Linked DNA regions of Rattus norvegicus. The protein of the gene in region 2 purifies or fractionates together with the protein of the main gene of each other region. This does not show direct contact. Links are inferred from orthologs where the notes say so. Each region holds a gene or a part of one and is shown on either strand. Other genes may lie near its edges.

The links.
Region 1: the proteins of Otud5 (region 2) and Maged1 purify together in Homo sapiens (affinity purification with mass spectrometry, with the first as the bait; 3 studies listed by BioGRID). This does not show direct contact. The link is inferred for Rattus norvegicus from reciprocal best matches to the Homo sapiens genes OTUD5 and MAGED1.

Annotation. Positions count from the first base shown.
Region 1 is NC_086039.1:63,416,618-63,427,280, forward strand, and holds the start of Maged1 (melanoma-associated antigen D1), read right to left. Parts: upstream 6,369-10,663; 5' UTR 6,268-6,368; intron 5,713-6,267; 5' UTR 5,684-5,712; coding exon 5,639-5,683; intron 4,942-5,638; coding exon 4,243-4,941; intron 3,692-4,242; coding exon 3,023-3,691; coding exon of another isoform or gene 2,992-3,022; intron 2,928-2,991; coding exon 2,864-2,927; intron 2,738-2,863; coding exon of another isoform or gene 2,711-2,737; coding exon 2,631-2,710; intron 2,482-2,630; coding exon 2,390-2,481; intron 2,174-2,389; coding exon 2,094-2,173; intron 2,003-2,093; coding exon 1,960-2,002; intron 1,815-1,959; coding exon 1,752-1,814; intron 1,446-1,751; coding exon 1,331-1,445; intron 647-1,330; coding exon 269-646; 3' UTR 261-268; intron 52-260; 3' UTR 1-51. UniProt on the Homo sapiens protein: Involved in the apoptotic response after nerve growth factor (NGF) binding in neuronal cells. Inhibits cell cycle progression, and facilitates NGFR-mediated apoptosis. May act as a regulator of the function of DLX family members.
Region 2 is NC_086039.1:17,298,649-17,309,211, forward strand, and holds part of Otud5 (OTU domain-containing protein 5), read right to left. Parts: intron 9,030-10,563; coding exon of another isoform or gene 9,004-9,029; exon of another isoform or gene 7,244-9,003; intron 7,238-7,243; coding exon 7,173-7,237; intron 7,085-7,172; coding exon 6,928-7,084; intron 6,831-6,927; coding exon 6,682-6,830; intron 2,657-6,681; coding exon 2,453-2,656; intron 2,307-2,452; coding exon of another isoform or gene 2,301-2,306; exon of another isoform or gene 1,183-2,300; coding exon 981-1,182; intron 897-980; coding exon 783-896; intron 507-782; coding exon of another isoform or gene 504-506; coding exon 382-503; 3' UTR 1-381. UniProt on the Homo sapiens protein: Deubiquitinating enzyme that functions as a negative regulator of the innate immune system. Has peptidase activity towards 'Lys-48'- and 'Lys-63'-linked polyubiquitin chains. Can also cleave 'Lys-11'-linked ubiquitin chains (in vitro).

The DNA.
Region 1 (10,663 bases), about 46 Mb from region 2:
CTGAGGCTTCAGCCTCACTCAGGGAAAACTATTGCAAATGATGAGCAGTATCTGTGAACATAAGAAATGGGGGAAATAATTCAATTAGCTGTATAAGTAATAAGACCACAAACACCAAAGAGTACTCATACTCAGTACTTCCCTTTTCTCCACCATGGGCTGTACATTACTAGCTTAAGACTGTGAATACAATTCCCCCACTGAGCATATATCGATCCCCCGCAGAACCCTACCTGCTTAATTGAAAGTGATTTACTTACCTGACACTTTACTCAACCCAGAAGAAGCCAATGGCACCGAAGTTGGCGGCGAAGTTGGCGGTGGCAGTGCCGCTGGGGCCAATGATGGGGCCGGTAAAGGCCTGGGGAAACCTGGAGCGGGCATTCTGGTGGTATCTGGCCCAGAAGGTAAAGGGGATCCTGGACCAAGGATCTCCAAAATCTCCTTCCTCATCCCAGGTCAGCAGCTCAAACTCAATGTCATCCCAGCTCCAGGGCCCAGACACAGCCTCGTCTCCAATCCCCATGCGGTTTCTTGCTTCGGCCCGGGCCTCTGCCTCAGCTGCAGCAGCATCCAGAGCATCCAAGGCTTCATCTGCAGCTTCCATGAACTGTGCAGTCCAGTCACGAGGGTCTCTCTTCTGAACCTGCAATGAGAAATAAAAAACTAAACCAAACCTTATACAGTAGCCAAGATACATAATCAGTAAGAATGCAAAAAGAAAATACTGTATTATACACAATGGAATACTATCCAGCCTTTAAAAATGAAAATCCCAGTATTCATGACCATACGGGTGAAGCTGAAGGACGTTATAGTAAGCAAGACAATACAGAGACAAGTACTGTTTTTATTGACAAGTGGACAATCTAAAACTAGACTCACGGGCATAGACTAGAATGGTGGTTGCCAGGGTTAGCTTACGTGGGATGAAGAATAGGGACATATTCATCAAAGTGTATGAACTTGAGTTCGGTGTAATGATTAAGCTCTGTATCTATTATGCAGCAGAATGTCTATAAGGTAATGACTACTGTATATCTGTAAACTGCTTTTTCTTGTGTGTTACTATGTGTGTGCACATACATGTGCAAGTATGTGGAAGGACAGAAGGCAACCTTGTTTGTTGTTCCTCAGGTACTATCCTCCTTATTATCTGAGACAGTGTTTCTTAACAAGCAGGCTCCAGTGTGAGCCCATGAGCCCCTGTGAGCCCCTATTTCCACCTCCCAGCACTGGACTGCAAACACGCACCATCCCCTCCCTCCCAGCTTTTTACGCAGGTTCTGGGGACTGAACCCGATTAAGCTACCATGGATTCCGCTATTACCTCTGCAATGAATCTCAGCACTTTCATCTTGCTAGTCTCATGGTAGGAGCGGAGGCCCCAGAGGAACTCATACTCAGGAGGGTTGCTGTTGGGCACTCGTCTGTAGTCCAGGTATCTGAAGAGGAAAAAGTCTGTGTTTATGGGCAGTCTGCAACAAAATACATGCTAAATAATACTGTGCTAAAGTTGCTGCTTCAGGTTTTTATCATCTTGGACTACTACTCTTTCCTGAGAATGTGTACTATGAGAAAAGAGGACAGGCTTTACTAATAACTATGCTGTAAAAACATTCCACCTCAAAGCGTGTCTTCAGTAAACACTTCTGGATAATTCTGTGAACCTACAGGAGTGCTGTAAGTCACGTTTAAAGAACCTTTTCTGATGCAGACCAAGCAGAGCCAGAATTCTAAGGACCACTTACTTCTGCTTTACAAACTCGTAAGTAAGAAGTTTCCTCAGATCGCCAAGGAGGGGATGTCTGACCCTGATGGTGAAAAAGAAAACGACAATCAGAGATTCTGCCTGAAGAAAACTAGAGAGTTACAGACTGTCTTCCTATCTAATCTCATCATAATTTAAGACATCCCCTGCTGCTAAAGGATACTTCAGATGAAGGAGCCCAGTCGTACCCAGGACGTAGTCCCATCTTGCGCAGTGCTTCCCAGAGGACGGCTGCAATAGGAGGCAAGAAGAGAGAAGGCATGGAAAGTGAGCATGGAAATCAGACTGCAGCCAACCCCCAGCTCCAAGTCCAGTCACTCACCCTCAGTGGCACGGTTGCCATTCATGAAGATAATGCCCAGAATCACTAAGAGGAGGCCTAGCTTCGGTGTGTCTTTGGTCCTAGAGGAGTACAAAAAGAATACAGATATATACACACCCAGCAGCTGTTTACACGAAAAACCCCACAAGCTTACCAATTTAGCTTCTCCAGTATTCCTCAGTGGAGATCATTATGCCCCCACTCTGCCCATGACCTCCTATGTGACTGAATACTGAAACTCTTAGGCAAAAAGCATCACCAAGGAAGGCCATAACACATCCCCTTTCCCATCTTACGTTCCCAGTATGCCAGCCAGGGATTCAGGGGTACTGATGAGGATATACAGATGCTCTTCTTTGTCGATTTCCTTGAGCTGGATTCCAAATTTCTACAGAAGCAAGCAAATGACAGCACTTAGCATAACGTGCCAATAGGCAGGCAGTCACAGCGCTGTGAACCTTGTCCTCAACTCCAGTAGTTATCTCACACAATGGAGAATTTGACCGTCATTCTAGTTTCCCAGGTGTGGCTCTTTACCTTCTCCAGGACAAAGCATGCGCGTTCAATGATTTCTGGATAAACATCAGTGTATTCTCGGATGATATCTCTCAGCATTTCTGTAGGAGAGAAGGGAAGCACCAGGACTGAGCTGGAGCACAGTAGCAGCCCCTTGGCCAGGCCTGGTAAGGACAGCCCGGTCAGGCTCCTCAGAGGTAGAATCAGCTATGGGAGGGAGTGGACAGGACATCAGGGTCAGGAGAAGGGCCTACCTGAGCGCTTGATGGGCACCTTCGTGTAGTCTTTAAGCATCAAGTACTTGACCAGCTTATTTGCCTGGGGGGAAATAATTCAAATTAGGTTTGCAGAACACTTGGTTGATTACAAATGGAAGGACCACAGTAAACAAAGTGGAGAGGTATAGCACTTACTCTTTCCTGAAGAAGGGCCACATCTCGGGGCTGTGGAGGACCCTGGTTCTGTGAGGCACGAGAGTTGGGGGAGGATCTCAGATTAGGTGAGGGTCGTAAGTTCTGCCAGTCGGGTGGAATTGGCCAGTCGGCAGGGATCCAGTCAGGTGGAAAAGGCCAGTCAGAGGGAAAGGACCAGTCAGGAGGCATTGACCAGTCAGGTGGTAACTGCCAATCTGGAGGGCCTTGCCAATCTTGAGGGCTCTGCCAACTAGGTGGAGCCTGCCAACTGGGTGGGCTCTGCCATCCAGGTGTACTCTGCCAGGCCATTGGGTTTGGCCAGACAATTGGGCCAGGCCAGACAATGGGGTTTGGCCAGATCACTGGATTCTGCCAGATCACTGGGTTAGGCCAGATCACTGGATTCTGCCATGCAACGGGGTTCTGCCAAGCTGATGGTGTCTGCCTAGCTGGGGGACTCTGACGTGCTGGTGGGGTCTGCCTGGCTGTCTGGTTTTGCCAGCCTGATGGGTTCTGCCAAGCCAGTGGTGTCTGCCACAGCACATTAGGGGGTGCGCCAGGTGGGTTCTGAGTGGTTACTGGAACCGGAGCAGACCTCCAGTTCCCGGAAGCCAGCGAGGCACGCCTTTGGTCCCCATTGCTGTTCTCTTCCACATTCAAGTTATTAATCTGTATCATTAGAGAGAAGAAAATTTCAGGGTCACTATTAATCCTGGCACCCCCAGTAGCTATCCTAGGAAGTCCCTAGGAATCCTCACCTATACCTCACTAGCCATTAGCCACTTGGTTCCTCACTGTCTTTCAGGAAAGCATTTCATCTCCAAACCAGAGAAAGAAAAACACAAAGTGGAGCCCGGGGTTTCTCCCTTTCCTGTGCACTGCTTGGTTTCACCCTGAACTCATTTCTCCCTGACTGTGGTCTCTCTTGCTTGTGAGGTGGATCTTCAAAATCTAATGATAATTCTGGGTGAGCCTGCCTAGCTTAAGACATGGTGTTTACTGTCAAATGTAAGACGGTCTGCACACATACTGCCTGTGTCCTTGTATCAACTCATCATTAATCTGTGGACAACCGGGGGTCAGGAATAAATATTTATTTCAGCTCCCCCTACAACTTTGCCAAAATAGAGATATATATGTGCCCTTTATTTTGTTTGGAGCAAAGGAAATTCAAAGAAAGGAGAGACCTCAAAGCAAAGGGAAGCCAGCAGGGATCTCACCTTGCGGGTCCTCTTGCCCCGAATTATAGTCCGGGACTCCACATTCTGAGCCTGGGAGCCATCTGCTGAGGTCTGGGCTGCTGCACCGTCAGTTTCAGAGATACCTGCACTGGTCCCTACGTCAGCCATTTTGGCCTGGTTTACATTCTGGGTCTGGGCATCAGCTCCAGGGATCTTAGTGGTGTCATTCCAAGCCTTAGCTGTCTTAGGCTGGTTGTTGGTCATCTCATTGGCACTGGGAGACTGAGTGAAATTGTAGGTGGCACTGGGGCCAGCCTTAGTAGTGGTATTCTGACCCTTAAAGGCCATTTCAGACTTTTTAGCTGCTGATTTGCCTGTGGATGCTGCATGGGAAAAATCAGAGGCAGCATGTGGACCTTTAGAGGTGGCATTCTGTGACTTAAAGGCCACCTTAGGCTGATTCTTGGGCATCTCCTTGGCATTACGTGCCTGAGAGTAATCATTTGGCCCCTTTGTGGTGGTATTCTGGGCCTTAAAGCCTGTCTTAGGCCTGGCAGCAGCTGCTGAAACCTCAGTATCAGCCTTCTCATTGGCAGTTGGGGGCTGTGAACTCTGGGGACTAGCATTCGGCCCACTGGCAGCTGCTGTGGCCTGGCTGGTGGGCGGAGCCTCGGAGATCTGGATGGCTTCCATCAAGGTCTGCACAAGCAAGGCGCTGTCTTCTACAGAGGCCTCTGCCTGCAAATACAGGAGGGGGAAATTTTAATCTCTGGGCCTTACAAGCCAGACCTGAAGGAGGGGCACGGCGCAACGCAGCAGGGGAACTGTAGACAGGCGTTACAGTACTCAGACATGGGGGCAGAGGCGGGTCAAAGGGAGGCGGGGCGGGAACAAAATTTAATTAAAGGTAGAGGGGGCAGGGCAAGGTGAGGGACAGTCGGAGGCAGCAGGGGCTGGTGCGGAATGTGGTGCAAGCACTGAACCCCGAATGGGTTTAGAGACAGACTCGTGAGGCTTGCCGTGGGGAGCTCAAGACCTGAGGACGGAGGAATTGAGGAGGATAAACAGAGGAGGGTGGAGGGGGAGTCTCGCGGCGTGGAGAAAGGGAGGGTGGAGGCGAGAGGTTGGGGGATGGGGCGACAGACTGCTCTACACGCGTCAGGGTTATGGAAAAAAAATGGTTCCTTACCCAACCCGCATTCTCTGGGCAGAATGCCCTGACTAACAGGGTCTCCCCTTTCTCTAAGCAGGGACCGATGGCTGAAAAGGGCCGCCCCTCCCCCCTATTCGATAAACGCTAGAAATTTGAGAGCCCGCGGAGTCTAGGCCGGAAGAAGGGCAAAATCAGATCCTGCCATTTGCGCGACCTGAGGGGCCAGGGGTGGGCGTAATCTGTCAGCAAGGAAAATGGAGGAATTGGGAGCGGGGTTCTCACCTGGAAGCCGCGGAGGCCTGCACCGCCGTCCGGTTTCTGAGCCATAGCTCTTGTCTCTCTGGCAAGAGCAGAGCCTGAGGGGGGTGTGGGAGAGGAACTAGGCATTATACTACAGAAGGAAAATACGTAGGACCGAATTGTGTGTGCGCGTGTGGTTTGATTATGGGGGCGGGTGAGGTGCTGGGTACGGGGAGAAACAGGCCTAACTGAAGCGGGAAAAGTAAATGGTCGTCCCGATAGACAATCTAAAATTTCCAGAAGCTGACAGGTAAAAGCTTCAAATCCGCGGTTTGGAATCAGATAAGCGCTCTGAATGCGGTAGTTTACAGGGGCGGGGGGGGGGGCGGTTAGCGGGGAGAGGTTCGCGTCTGTAAAGTTGAATTAAGGCTTTGAATCTAGAGGAATCGTATAACGGATCAAGGTCGGGAAATAGGATTCAGTGAAGGAATTGGATAAAGATTCAGGGAATGAACGGGAGTTCGAATTAGAAAGGGTCGGGAGCGAGGTGTAAGTCCGGGGTAAGGCAGAGGAGGGGGTTTCTGAATTCAGGGAAAGGGGATTGGGATAAAAGAATGGGGGAAGGGCGCCACACCAGGGGGGCAGATGCCCAGTCCGGGGGCGGGTCTCACCTTGCCTCAGGCCCCAACCCCAACCCCCTTCGTTGCTTCCTTCTTCACGACTCAGAGGATCGGGACTGCTCTGCTCCGCTCTCTGCACCCGCACTCTCTCCTTGTCCAGGAGAAAATGCCAGCGCGGCAGCTCGGGCGACCCCGCCTCTTCGCCTAATATACCACCCACCGCCTCAGGAAGCCCCGCGCATGCGCAACAGATCACTGTCCAAATAAGAGTCCCGCTTGCTTTCCCAACAAAAGCTTCATCCTGGAGACCTTGTCGCGCATGTGCACTTGGAGGAGATCCCGCCTCTTTGCCAGCACACTATCCCACCGCCAACCAGGTTGACAGTGTACAAAGGTTCCTCCTCCCCTTCTCCTTACGCATCCACTCCTTCAACAGATGCGCAGCGCCTTTTGGTCCCACCCCCTTGCCCAACACACCAGCCCCCTACCTTTATCCGCAATGCGTCTCTTCTCAGTCCCGCCCTTTTTCCCGAACTCTCTCTAGCCAGGTCCGCAACTACCTCCCACCCACTTGCTTAGAGCCTCTTAGGTAGGCCTCTGCGGGGGGTCTCTTATTTCGACACAAACTAGGCCTCTGCTGAGTTCACGCACTTTGCAATGCAGAAACCTTAAAGGCAGGGGCAAAAAAAAAAAAAAAAACAAAAACAAAACGTGACAGAGCTACCAGGGCAAGGGTCAGCCTGGGGATTCTATAGGTTTCCTCTCACGAGACTCAGAAAATTAGCGTTTCTCTCGCCCTTTTTGCAGTTTTTGCCAAAGAAATATTTCGTGAGGGGTGGGTCCGAGAGGTGAGGGAAGGGCGTAGGGCAGTGGGCTCTGTCCTGGAGCTTGGTTTTCTCACAGGCAGCCTCAGGAGATGGATGGAGGTCAACATTCTCATTTAACACGTCAGGTAGCTAAAACGTAAACCCGCTGTATGGACCAGGGCATTGAGCTAGTAACAAACAGAAAAGACAATATTTGCTTAAACACACTGGTAATCCCAGCACTCCGGAGACCGAGTTCTAGGCCAGCTTTGCAACTCTGAGACTTTATCTAAAAGACAAACAAACATCCATGTGGGGCCTGGATGATCCTGACTGAAAATCTGCTCTGAGAATAGAGGCATTCCTTAATCCTCTATTGGAATAACAAGCTTTCCTCTCCCCAATATTTGTTCCAAGGGAATGAGGCTTGTGTTCTAGGAGGCCTGGTGTATGTGGGAACCCTTCAGGTTCACTCTGTGCTCCTCTTGGCAGGCAGTCTCCAGGAGTGAGACGGCGGGCTTTTTTGGTGCCTGCTGGAGCAGCCAGGGTAGTCAGGTGTGTCTGCCCTGTTCTTGCGGAATGAAGCTGGGCTTGGCTTTAGAATTCCAAGATGAGTGTCTGGCCTATCTGTCTCTGGCTGTGTGAGCCCCTGAGACATGGTCACTTTAGTGGACCTCTCTGAGCCTAATTTACTCACTACACAAAATAGGAATCCCAGGAAGAGAGTCGTGTCCAAGGACACACAGTCTGCTGTGCCAACATGGCTGGAGAAACAAACGCAGAAAAATGGCATACAGATGTGGTGACTCAAACCAAACCCATACGTTCCCGAAACCCCAGGCAGATCTGAGCGCATTTCCCATTTATTCTGGCGTCAGCTCCTGACAGGAGCCTGCATATGAAAGCAAGCTAATGCTAGGAAGGACCGCAGCATTCTGTCCCCAAGGGCCAACATCAATTCTGCCAGGCTGGATGACTTCCCTCATCTGTTGCATAGCAACCTCCCCTGTCAGCTGCCTGTTTTTCCTCAGCACTTCCTCTGTAAAGTGTCTGCAGTGGGACGTGATCAGACTCGGGAAAGGAGGTCTGAGGTGCCATTTTATGTATCATCTGCTTCCTTCTGTGTCTGTATCTTCAGTCATGGGCCAGCCTATACCGCGTAGACTCGTACCCTGCTGCCCACTCCCTTCTCCAGGTGGATATTTTTGATATTCTCAAAATTATTTCCAAATTTATACACACACACACACACACACACACACACACACACACACGCAGGCACACACACATATCCTCCTCACCACTGTTTCCTTTAGTTTTGTTCTTTTTGTCACATGAGATTGGGAACTCCTTTAGGGATGTGGAGTTTGCCTAATTTATTCATTGTTGTACCTTCAGCACGATGAACAATGCCTAGTACATTTTATATTCTCAATAAAGATTGTTTGATAAATGAATGAATCACACAATCTACCCCATTGCTAAAACGAGGAGCCTGAGTGGAAATTTTTTTTGCCCGATAAATTCACTTATTTTTTTGTCATATACAAAGACATAATTTACTATGGAAACAGTTTATAAGCATCACTGACGATTGGAAATGTTATCTAAATGCTATTGAAGTTAAGTAATCATTTTTGAATCCTCACCACCTTGAACCAGTGGCTAAGGCTTTTATACTACCTTTTCATATAGCATTTTTAAGCACAGGCACACAGCTTCTTACATAAATTAGATAGTATGCATGTGGAAAATATTTTACATTGCACTCTTTGGCTTAATACTCCACATTCGTCTTTCAGTTCTATCAGAGGTGCATTGTTACCGTGCTGTTGAAATCCCTGCTTGATCAAAGAGTCATGTTTTTATCATTTGACAAGAACCCGGAGCATACGCGTTTTTGCGTGTTTTATCTTATCAAAAAACTCTTTTTCTGCGTCATTCTTTAAAAATGCTTAACGTTCTTTTCTGCTTCTGTTTGCTCATGTTGTAACAGGGATCCTGGTGTTAGCTGAGTTCATTTTGGGGGAAAAGCAAGGGACTGGCTGCCCACGAAGGACAAAAGACTAAAATATAGGAAAAGCTGGAAGGAGGCAGGGTCACAGGTTCTTTCCTTGGGACTAGGAGGGGAAAGTGGGAGGTGAGAGTCTGAGGGGTGGGTATGAGTCTACATAGGCTGCTTCCTTGTTGTTGTTTTAATTAAAACCCCTGAGCTCCCCTATTTTTCTTATTTCTTGTCCAGATGTTTGTCTCTGAGCAGTACCGTCTTTCTAACTTTCCCTCAAAGTGTATGTGGGTTTATCTCTCGGTGTGTACTCCACATATGTGCTGTCTTTTGGATGCCAGAAGAGAGTTGCGTTCCCTGGAACTGGAGTTACAGAGGTGGTTGTGTGCCACCTGGTGTGGGTGCTGGGAACTGAACTGACATCGGCTAAAACTGCCGGGCTAGCTCCTTTTTTTTTTTTTTTCTTTAAACATTTGTCTGTGTGTACGTAAACAGATTTACATTTCTTTGAGTTAAATGTACAACAGTGCAATATCTGGAGCTTATAGTAAGTGTGTGTTAGCTTTACAAGAAGCTACAGATCTTTCCTAGAGTGGCTGAACCATTTTACATTCCATTAGCCACATATAAGTGCTTTAATTTCTACAAATCTTTCGTGACATCTGAAGTTAGAATTTTTAGCAACAGTGTGTAGGAATAGCTCACCATGATTTTAATGTGCATTCACTTGGTGGTTAACTGAATATATTTCGGCGTGATAATTTCACACCCAAATCTCCCTTTTAGTAAAATGTCTCTACATACATTTTATCCATTTTCTATTTGGGTTATTTTATTGCTTTTATTTAATATGTTGGATCTTGGTAAGACCACTGCTGCACAAAGGTGAGGATCTGAGTTAAAATTCCTAACCCACATGTAAAAAGCTTGATATGGTTTTGCACATCTGTTGTGGGGGTGATGACAGGAGAATTGCTGGATCTTTCTGTCTGGCAATGAAAGACTTTGCCTGGGAATAAAACAGAAGCACCTGACATCCTCCTTTGGCCTCTATGAGGGCATGGGTGTTTACCTACATACACATGTACACATATACCACACACACTCGCCATACTTATACTCTCTCTCTCTCTCTCTCTCTCTCTCTCTCTCTCTCTCTCACACACACACACACACACACACACACACACATAACACACTTACCAAAAGAATAAGTCAATTAATTTAAACTTTGAATATTGACCTTTTCTAATTGATTCATGAGTCCCTTGTCAGATATGTGGTTTGCAGGTTTTCTCAGTTTATGGTTTATCTTATTTTCACTTCAAACATTTATTTTATTTTTTGTTTTTGTATTTATTTGTGTGTGCGCGTGAGTGCATGTGTGCGTGTGTGAATGTGTCCATGAATGCTGGAAGAGGATGTTGGATCCCTTGAAGCTGTAGTCACAGATGGTTCACATAGGTGCTGGGAACTAAACCTAATCCCTCTGGAAGAACAGCGAGCACTCTTAACTGTTGCGTAATCTCTCCCACCCCCTATTTTCATGTTCTCTCCCTCTCTTTAAAAAAATTATTTATGTTATGTTCGTTTGGTTTTTTGCCTGCATGTATGTCTGTGTGAGGGAGTCAAATCC
Region 2 (10,563 bases):
AAGTTTATCTGATCTTTAAGGAAGGACGAGCAGAAGACTTCCTTTGTCTGAATGTCTCTCTTCTGGGGCTGCCTGGCTGCCAGATGGTCTGTCTCTGTGGGTCTCTTGCCTACCTTCCGCACCCTGTCCAGAGTCCCCTGTGGAATGCTGAGATGGTGCTGTGCAGGGGGGCAATAGGGCACATCAGCTGGCAGAGACCAATGGTGGTGGCAGGGATGAGATGGATGGAGCGCATGGGTGGGCCAGCCAGAGGGAAGTGGAAAAGAAGGAAAAGAGGAAACAAAGGAAGGAAGCCAAGAGGGAAGAAAGCCAAAGAAGTTTGGGTGGCATTAAAGGGCAGGAGTGGGGGATCGGGGATGGTGTCCAGTCCCTGGGTCTCCATCAACTCTTGTCTGGGGGTGGGTCTCTGTGCACTTTGTTTTTCTTCATACTGTCTAGGTATTCCTGTTGGGACACTGCCAGCACCGATGCTAGGATCTCATCATCATCCCAATCATTCAGACCTGCTGGGCAGGAGAGAGAAGAGGACAATGATGATGGGGGGCACCTCGGGCCACTTTCCCTTATTTCTGTTTGATCCCTGGCTCTGGAAAAATCCATCCAGGTCTCCATCATTCATTGACTCCCTCAACTCTGTGAAGCCCCACTAGACCCACTGTGGAGAAAACCTTTGGGGCCTGAAATTTTCCCTCATGCCTCTGACTTGGAGAGATGGCCAGGGACTTCAAAAATCCTCCAGGCTCTCCCAACTTCCAGCTGGCCCATCCCCTAAGAGGGCTTACCAAAGGCAGAGGGGGACATCTGCTGGATGAGGGCCCGGCACTCCAGAGCAGGGTAGAGGGACACAAGAGGAGAGGTGGCCCGATCAGCCCCTGCTGAGAACTGACTGCTTGTACCTGAGGCAGATGAACAATCAAAGGTAGGGCCCACCAAGCAGAGCCTCTTAGCCCAAGCAGGCACCCTGAAAGCAAGTCACTGACCTGGTGCACAGGGTGAAGGAGGTTTGGCAAGAGCTAACACAGTGCCTGGGGAAGGGGGCTTAATGCCTAGCTCGGCATGCAGTTCAGGGTGCTCAGGTGACGAGGCTGAACTTCGTTGCCGTGGGGACCGACTAGTCCATTCCTCCAGGCCACTGGAGGCTGCTGCTGTGGCTGAACTGCATGTGGCACTGGCTTTCCGTGGCTGCAGTAGGGAAGGAAAAAGTGATAAGGACCTACACTGGCTATGACCCTCCTGTGCTGGAGTGCTTATACCCTTTTCCAGAATCCTGGCTACAGCATAGCTTTAATGTATCACAATGACTTAATCACTCCCATATCCTTAAAGGCATCTGACAAAGTCCTATTCTTTCAAGAGACCCTGATCTCATCTCCTGATTCAAACCCTGCTTTCCCCTTAGATTTGCTCTATAACCAGTCAGGGTGATCCTATCTCAAATCCCTTTTCTGTTCACAGCCCTCCCATGGTTTCTGCCTCATTCAGAGCAAAAGCAAAGTCCTCTCCAGAATTCACAAGCCACTATCCAACCTAGCCCCACTACCCTGACCGTACCCACATTCTGTTCAGCTTCAGGTATACCTAGGTTATACCAACTCTGCTGCCCTCACCCAGGCCTAGTTCTGTCCATGTACTCGGGTACCAAATTCCCTTTCTATGGGCTTTCTGCTGAGCTCTACCCTGATGACTGTTTAATACTGTGAACTCAAATCATCCTCACTCAGTCTCATGTATCCCCTGCACCAACTGTCCATTTTTCACCCATCATCCCTCCAACTCATTCATGAGGATTTTAGTTCACTTGGCTACTTGTGAGTAGCCTGAGGATAGGTACTTTGGCCTGCTAGGTTCACAATGTACCCCACTACACTAGGAATCTTCTGCTTCCTGCCACAGGCCTACAATATAAATACTTGCTGAACAGATTATTCAGCTCTTGTAACCAACAGTCATTCCATACCCCTCTTCGATTCCTCAGATGCATGCCTCCCTGCTTCCTACCCTAAAAATACAACCGACTAGGTCCCCCACCCCCACCTCTCCTGGTCTTGCACAACCAGAGTCACAGGCCTGACCAATGCCGTATCTGCCTCAACAGACAGGATCACAGAAGATAGTGAAGGAAAGGCTTTATATCCTCAGTACAGAACGTAGCATGCAAAGGGATTCCAAAAAAGCTGGTCTCTTTGTAGCTATCCATTGTTCCTTTGTGCTACCAGCAGTGGTGGCTGCTCTCTTCGTTTCTTAAAAGCTGCTCTCCTTCACTTCTTAAAATCAAGTGTTGAGAGTTCCAAGGTACGATGTCAAGACTAAAGATGAGATGAGTTATAGATGGGACTGGGAGTTTGCCTCTCTCCCAGATGTCAAAATTTCTTATTTTATCTCTGTTAAGTAGGGGTCAAAAGATAAGAAGTAATAGGTCTTGGTCAGGCCAATGACAGAGTCCATGACCCACCTGGCTGGGTCCCCGGACCTGGCGGGCCTGTTTCTCTTGATCCCTCAGCCACTGCAGGTAAGATTCTCGAGCCACCTGCTCCTCTATGGCCTCATTTGTGGCCTCCCAGTCTGTAGCTCGTTTCTTGTCTTCCAGCATTTGCTGTTCAATCCATGACTCTTCTGATGTCTTTATGGCATTCTTCATCAGGGACTGCTCTGCAAACTGCCAGGGGAGAGGAACAGGGATGTGCAGTGATGCTCTGAACCCAGGTAAGAGCCTGAATGGCTCAAGAAGGCAGGGCCTACAGGCCTTAGCAGAGACAACACAGAAGTTATTCTTACATAGTACTCCTCAGCAGACTGTGTACACATTCATCCATAACTGGAGAAAGCAGGCTTAGATATAAGACCTGGCATTCTGAATTCCTATGGTCAGAAATACTGGCCCAAACCCAAGATACCTCAAGTGAAGCACTAAGTCTGGAGATAAGAGGGGCTCTTCGGTCTAGGCCTTCGTTTAAAGAAGCCTCATCTAGCAATGACTCAATTTCACAGTGTTGAAGCCTTTCTCATATATTCCCAGATAAGGCAAAAGAAAAAGATGAACAGAGAAGTACAGACATGGAGTGGAGGCAGGAATCAAGCGAATACGAGGCTGAGTATGGCTATGTGAGGGAAGGAAGTATTGGTATCATGTGGGTGCTAGGACACTGTATGAGAAAACTTCACATCAAGTTGTAAGACACTAGGGCATTACTGGTTTGTTTTCAGACAGAGGGTCATGGCCTGGTCTGATCTTGAACTCACTATGAAAGTCAAGCTAGCCTGGAATTCATAGCAACCTTCCTGCTTCAGCCTCACAAGTGCTGTGATTACAGGCATGAGCTAGCTAGCACATCCGGAGATGATGCTAACGGAATAATAGAGAACGTCAATGTATATTTCAAGGATTGAATGCAAATACTGCTTCATAAAGTTTTGGTTAATGTTCCGTTTTTCAAAAACAATGGCTTGGTATGCAGCCAACCCAGGTTAGGTTTGAACTCATAATTCTCTTCCTCTGCCTCAAAAATACTAGAATTATAGGCATGTACCACCATGTCCCTAGTAACATCACTTTCATATACACATATATAACATACATAAAAGCATATATGCTAAACAACATAATTTTCTATCATGGTGCACACCAGGGGAAATATATGTAAAAAAGGCTAGATCAAGTCAATTTAAAAACAGGGCCAGCTGAGTGATAACAAGTGCATACACAAAAACCTGGGTTCCATTCCTCCAAAATGAGGAAAATGAAAACTAGGTAAGCCATCTGACCATTGCACAAGTAAAGCATAGGGATGGCAAATGGGCAGATGTAAGAGACCCTCAGCTGGTGATGAAGCTCAAGGGTGTAGCATTAAAACAATGCTCAACACATTTAACAATCAAGTAAACTTAAAAAACACTGAGAATGGTTAAAATTAAAAAGGTAGGAAGATGAAGTGCTGGAGAGAAGCGGAACAGAACTTTCATTCACTGTGATGGTGCCTGGAACAAATCAGGCCACTTCATACAAATAGTCTAGCAGCTGCTTACAAATCACACCATGGTTTTCAAATTCTGTAATTTTGCTTCCAGATATTAATAAAACTAATCATAAAATTTAAGTTCCTACAAAAACCTGAACCCAGCAGTTTACAGAAGCTTTGTTCATAATCATCAAAACCTGGAAGCAACCAAGGATATCTCTCAAATAGGTGAATGATTAAACCAACAGTGTGCCTCCACAAATGGAACAGTGATAACATGGCTAACAAGCCATGAAAAACCATGGAAGAACCTTAATGCATATTGCTACTTGAAAGCAGCATTTTAAAAAGCCTACATACTTATGAGTGCAATTACGTGACTTTCTGAAATAGGCAAAAACAGTCAATAAAGATCAGTGGCTGCAGGAGACAGAGTGGGGAACCTTCAGGGGCTGAAACTAGCTGAATGAATAGGTGCCTGAAAGATAGATGCACATTATTGTTATGCATCTGTCAAAACCCAAGGAACTTTACAAAACAAAGACTATTCCTTAATGTATGCTAATCGCTTTTTAAAGATTAGTTAAGAAGTAACGCTCTGGGGGCAAAACCTCCTAAAGAATTACAAATGTATGCAAAGACGAGCAGGCGGTGGCCTCAGGCATTAGAAAATGAATAGAATCAGTAACACCAAACACAAAGAGAGCATTGGGTATCACCGGACTCCAGGGGTCCAGTTAATGAGACCGCCCCAGCTTATACGGATATGTAAATAGCAGTCAGTAAGTGACTGCAGGGTGGTGCGGAAAGTTTTCTAAACTTTAAAGTGAAAATTTACTCAAAAAGGCTAAAATGAGGCAAATGGTCACAGGATTTTAACTAAAGACATCAGCAATAACCCTAAGTTAAATTAACATATACTTAGGTCGACAGACAGAATTCCCATCAGTGTGACTTCCTTCCTAACACTACAGCAGCCAAAAGGTGGGAAAATTCGTACGACGTCTGCCAGACAATCAACATCAACAGTCATGATCATATTCCCAATACATACTCTTGATGTATTTCTCTGTGCTCTTCTGCCCAAACCCAAAATCCAGGTTAAAATCATGAGAAGGACACCGAGAAAAAGAATTTCCCCGCAATACTTTTGAATAGTTCTCCTTAAAATTTTTGTGGTCATCAAAACAAGAGGAAGGAATGAGGCAGTAACTTCACATTAATATGAATGTCTGAATACCGGTTCACACCGGGTAACAAATGTACCAGTCTGTGCCTTGGGAAGAGATGGAACTGTATACTGAGAAAACTATTCTGAAGGTTGGCAAGACAGCTCAGGGAGTCAAGGGCGCCTGATGAACACAGAGAGCTGAGTTGTTTACAGACCTCCACACACCATTCCCCAAAATAAATAAATGTAAAATAATTTTGAACAATTAAGTCTATTAATTAGAGAAACTTTTTTTTTGTTTTTTTCGGAGCTGGGGACCGAACCCAGGGCCTTGCGCTTCCTAGGTAAGCGCTCTACCACTGAGCTAAATCCCCAGCACCCCCCCCCCTTTTTGTGTTCAATTAGAGAAACTTTAAAACATTCAGATTTTTAGAGAAAAAGAAAATAGTCAAGCCAGTAAAAGTTACAGATGAATCTTAAATGATGCTGCTATTAAGTTGAAAAAATTCATTCTGGAATAGCTACATACATGCAGCGTATTTCATATTATATGAGATTCTAGAAAAGACAAAACTGTGAAGTGGGTCACCAGATCAAAACAAAACCAGACAAATTCTTAAGAATTTGTTAAAATAAGAAGTCAAAGGGGACAAGTAAATGTGAGACAGAATCTTGGAAAAGGCTTACCAATAGGACACTGAGGAAATGTATTCTTAATGGACCCATACTGATTTGTTAAGGACAACAAATGTACTATGTTCATGTTAATCATAGCAGGGCATATGGAAATGCTAATATTCTCACAATCACTCTGCAAATATAAAACTTTTCTAAAATTTAGTAAAAAAGAAAAACAAGGCGCCCCTCCCCCAGGTTGGGGGTGTGTGTTGAAGTTGTTTCTTAAGATGAGGCAGGACCACCTTCTGTTTGTAGGAAGTGAAACCTGAATAGAAGTCTTCAAAATCCCCAGGAGGGGGTAAAGGGAAGACAGAGAAGAGGGAGGAGAGGGGGTGGGGAGGAGAGGAAGTGGGATAAGGAGTAGGGAAAAGAGTCAAGGAGGAAGGAAAGAGGGAGGATCAGAGGTGTCGACACTGAAAAGAGGGAGGATGGAGCAGGGAAGATGAGAGGATAGAGACTGTGAGACTATGAGAATGAATGATTATCTGCCAGTAGATGCTGGGCAAATGAACTGTAATCTTCTGACACCTAGGCGGCCTTGGGCCTGTGGGAAGGACTTTCAGTGTAGGCCCAACCTATACAATCTGCTCAGAGGGTACGCTCCAGCAAGCTGCTCTGAAGTTGGAGAAGATCCGTGTGGAAGCTTGGCTTACTGTTTCAAGTTGAGCTCTATATCCTAAAAGGCCACTCTCAACAAGCGTAACATGAGTGAGCCATCTCATGGACAGGCACATCAAAACCACAGAATGAGTTCTGATCAACAGTAACTCACTAATTTTATATAGAGATGAAACTTGGGTGCAGACATTTTATGGGCTAACGGCAGAGCCAATGATCCATATCTAGCAAATACCTGGGGCACAGGGACCCACTTACCCCTGGTTTAAATGATGGCAGGCCCAGCCCCACACCAATAGTGGCCTTGTTAGGATTCACCACTGAATTATAGTGGATATTCCGGTGGTAGCTGACACGGATGGGTTCATCTTCATTTTGATGGATCCCATGGAATGTGTTGATAGGTTCTGCAGAGAAAGAGAAGGAGGGAGCATCCACAGGGGCCCAGTATGGTTGGCTCTGATGAGGAACCATTAGGCCCTCACCTACCCACTACAGAAGTACCTGTGCTATACTGATACACCTCCACAGGACGGTTGTACATCTCTGCCATAGCCTGCATCTCAATGTGGTTCCCATGGCAGTTGTTTTTCCGCTTCCGATTGATATAGGTGGTGAAGTCTTCTGTGACATAGTTGGAAAAGTAATCGGCATTCTTCATCTGTGGAACAGATTGGAAAATTAAGGTTTGTGTGCAACAGGAATCCCCCTACCCTCCTGCTGCCCCAAGGCCTCCCCCAGGATCTCACCAGATAGTCCATGCAATGCTTTCGCACAACCTCATGCATGTCCTGGTCTCCATACACCTGGTCAGCTGGGGGTGTGGGGACAAAACAAAGGAGAGGATGGGGTCAGACCTGTCACCACCAGAGCTCTGAGTCAGAGTCATAGAACATCATTAGGGAGCAGATGGGCTAAAGGATTAGGGAAACTCCCTTTTCTATACCAAGGCCCAGAAGCTTTGAGTTGTGATAGAGTGGTGGTAAATAACAAGCAAGGGCTGAAAACATGCTCAACATGCACACATCAGCCAGGTGTAGTGGTACATGTCTATATCCCAGCCCTCAGGATGTGGACGTGGGATGACCAGATTATCTTCATCTATCTCCAGTTCTACTATAAGTTCAAGGCCAGGATAGGCTACATGGGACACTGTCTAAAAAAATAGGAGCAAAGTTGAACAATCTTGAAGAGTGAAAGAGTACAGGGGTATACAGGTTAAGAGTAGTATGGTCAAGGGCCAGCAAGATGATTAGTGGCTAAAGGGACTAGTTCAACCCCCAAGATTCTACAGTTGAAGGAGAGAACCAAATTGTTCCTTTAACTTGTCCTCTGCCCTCTACATGGTATTCATCCCAACCACCATACCCACTGATAAAAACGAAATAACAAGTTTTTCAGTTGGGGACAGTGGTGCATGTGTTTAATCCCAACACTCTGGAGACCAGCCTGGTCTACAAAGTGAGTTCTAGGACATCCAGAGCTACACAGAGAAACCCTGTCTCAGCGGGGAAAAAAAGAGGGCAGTATATACCTATAATCAAGGTTGAGTAGTCAAGAGAATTGTCAAGTTCAAAACCTAGATCACATGAGATCTAGTGAGAGTCTATTTCAAACCAAACTAAAGCAAACCCTACATTAAATACCTACCACCACAAAAAATAAATTAGAATCTCTTTTTTTTTTTGAGACATGGTCTCAGGATGTAGCTCTGACTGGTCTGATACTTGACATGTAGACCAGGATGGCCTCAATCTTAGAGTTCTGCCAGCCACTGCCTTCTGAGTGATGAGATTTAAAGGCATAAACTACCATCTGGAACTCATTCTGTAGACCAGGCAGACACTGAACTCAGAGATCTCTCAGTCTCTGCCTCCTAGTGCTGGGATTAAAGAGGTGCGCCACCACAGGTGGCTATGATTAGAATCTTAAAAACTGAAGGAAAGGAAGGAAAACACTTTAAGTTCAGCCAAATAGTAACTAGTGAGGTAAACAGCCGGAGACAAATGAGTCTCTGGGTTTCCTATGCCTCCTCTGTGAAGTGGAAAACAAACAGGTATGAGCTGACAGGTTTCTTGTGGACAATGGACAGTATGTGTAAAGTGGTAGAAGCCCTCTATCATCCAATTCAATGGTGTACACAGACTGATTCCATAAAGCCTCCAGTGATGGTAGTAAGGGGCAGTTCACACCTGAGCCCACTGGCAGCTCAAGACCTGATGTAGTAAAAGAAATCGAATACAGTTTGCTGAGCAGTCATACAGGCTGAGGCACAGGAAGCAGGAGTCTCTTAATTAATGTGGGCTTGAAGTTTAAGTAGACCTGACTTTCACTGGCTGCCTTGAAAAGGGAATTTCCCTGTGTTTCCCCAGAGATACACAGCTCTAATGGGATCCCCCTGAGGCAAAGGGGCAGAGGATGCTAGGAATGGGAACATGCCCACCAAGCAAGCCTGCCAGTCTACTTCTCTGAAGACTTGCCAGAAGGTCTTCACTGCCCAGTGATTCCCTCCACAAGGGTTCGTGTGATATAGGAATCAAAGGCTGCACTGAGTGAGATAGCAAGTGGGCAGCTCCAGCCTCAAGTCATCCCAGAGGTGACGATACCTGAGGGGTGGAGGAGAAGGGGCTGTGAAGGCAGGAAGGGGTAGCCCCTTCACCAATGTAAACAAGGATGTGGCTTCTGTGGCCACACTCCCCCCTAAGTACTTCCAGTAAGTCACATGTCCTGCATACAAGCTGGGGGTGGGGTGGGGGGGCTGCTGCTGCTGCCTTTCTTAGAAGCCAGGACCACAGAGGCTGCTGTGGCTGCCTAGGCTGCTGGAGGAGCTATTTTTGTAGGCTCAGCTTGGAGGCAGTGCAGTCGGCAGCTGCCACAAACAGGAACTAAGATGGGAGTGAAGGGGTTAAATAGGGGTGAGCTATCAGGCTCAGTGAGCTGGGCTGAGATAATGGGAAGCATGTATCTCCTACAGAAGGTAACTTAAAGACCTGAGATTTCTATTTGTCAGAGCTAGATGCCAGATTTGGGAAAGGGGGTTCCCTTTATCTTGCCTTTGTCTGGTGAAAGTACGTGCTACCTCTTAGCTGTGCGGCACTGGACAAGGCCCTTCATCTCTGAGTTGAAATGCCTTCATCCATAAAGTGGGGACAGTAACCCTTCTCTTCTCAAAATGGTATTGTAAAGTAGAGGAGGGATAGAAATATCTCTCTATGGGAGAATATGGCATGCTAGGTTCAATCTTTGGTATGGGGATGGGACTATAAGAATTTGTCAAGTACCTAAGGCCTAAACAGTAGTCAAAACAGGCACTGCAGGCCAGGAACCTAGCACACACATGTCTTTATTCCCCACACCCAGGAACCTAGCACACACATGTCTTTATTCCCCACACCCAGGAACCTAGCACACACTTGTCTTTATTCCCCACACCCAGGAGCCTAGCACATACATGTCTTTATTCCCCACACCCAGGAACCTAGCACACACTTGTCTTTATTCCCCACACCCAGGAGCCTAGCACACACATGTCTTTATTCCCCACACCCAGGAACCTAGCACACACTTGTCTTTATTCCCCACACCCAGGAGCCTAGCACACACATGTCTTTATTCCCCACACTCAGAAGGCAGAGGCAGTAGGATCTCTGTGAGTTGGAGACTAGCCTAGAGAGTTCCAGGACAGGGACAGCTAGAGCTACATAGAGACCCTGTCTCAAACATAACAAAACAAACACAGACACTCCATTTGTTACGAAGACAGCAACTCCTATCATATTGCTAGTTACCCAGCAGTCAGTCAGTCAGAATGCTGAGAGACTTGCTTCTTAAGCCCTTCCTCATTTCTGGTGCACTTCCTCCACCAGAGGAAAGTCCCAAAAGCAGAAAGGAGGGCTACCCCTCCTATTATAAGCACTGCTAGTTCTCTTTACAGAATTCAAGGGTCCCAACGCTGGCCTTCTGGTGCCTGTGTTCAAAACTCTGACAACCAAATTCCTACCGAAGTAATAATACTACTGACCTCTTATGTTGGGTCTGTAGGTACAGGCAAGTTATAGTACTATAGGTTCATCCCAGATTCTATAAGAAAATAACCTGGCACTCATTATAAGCTGTTCCTTAATTTTTTATTTTTAGACA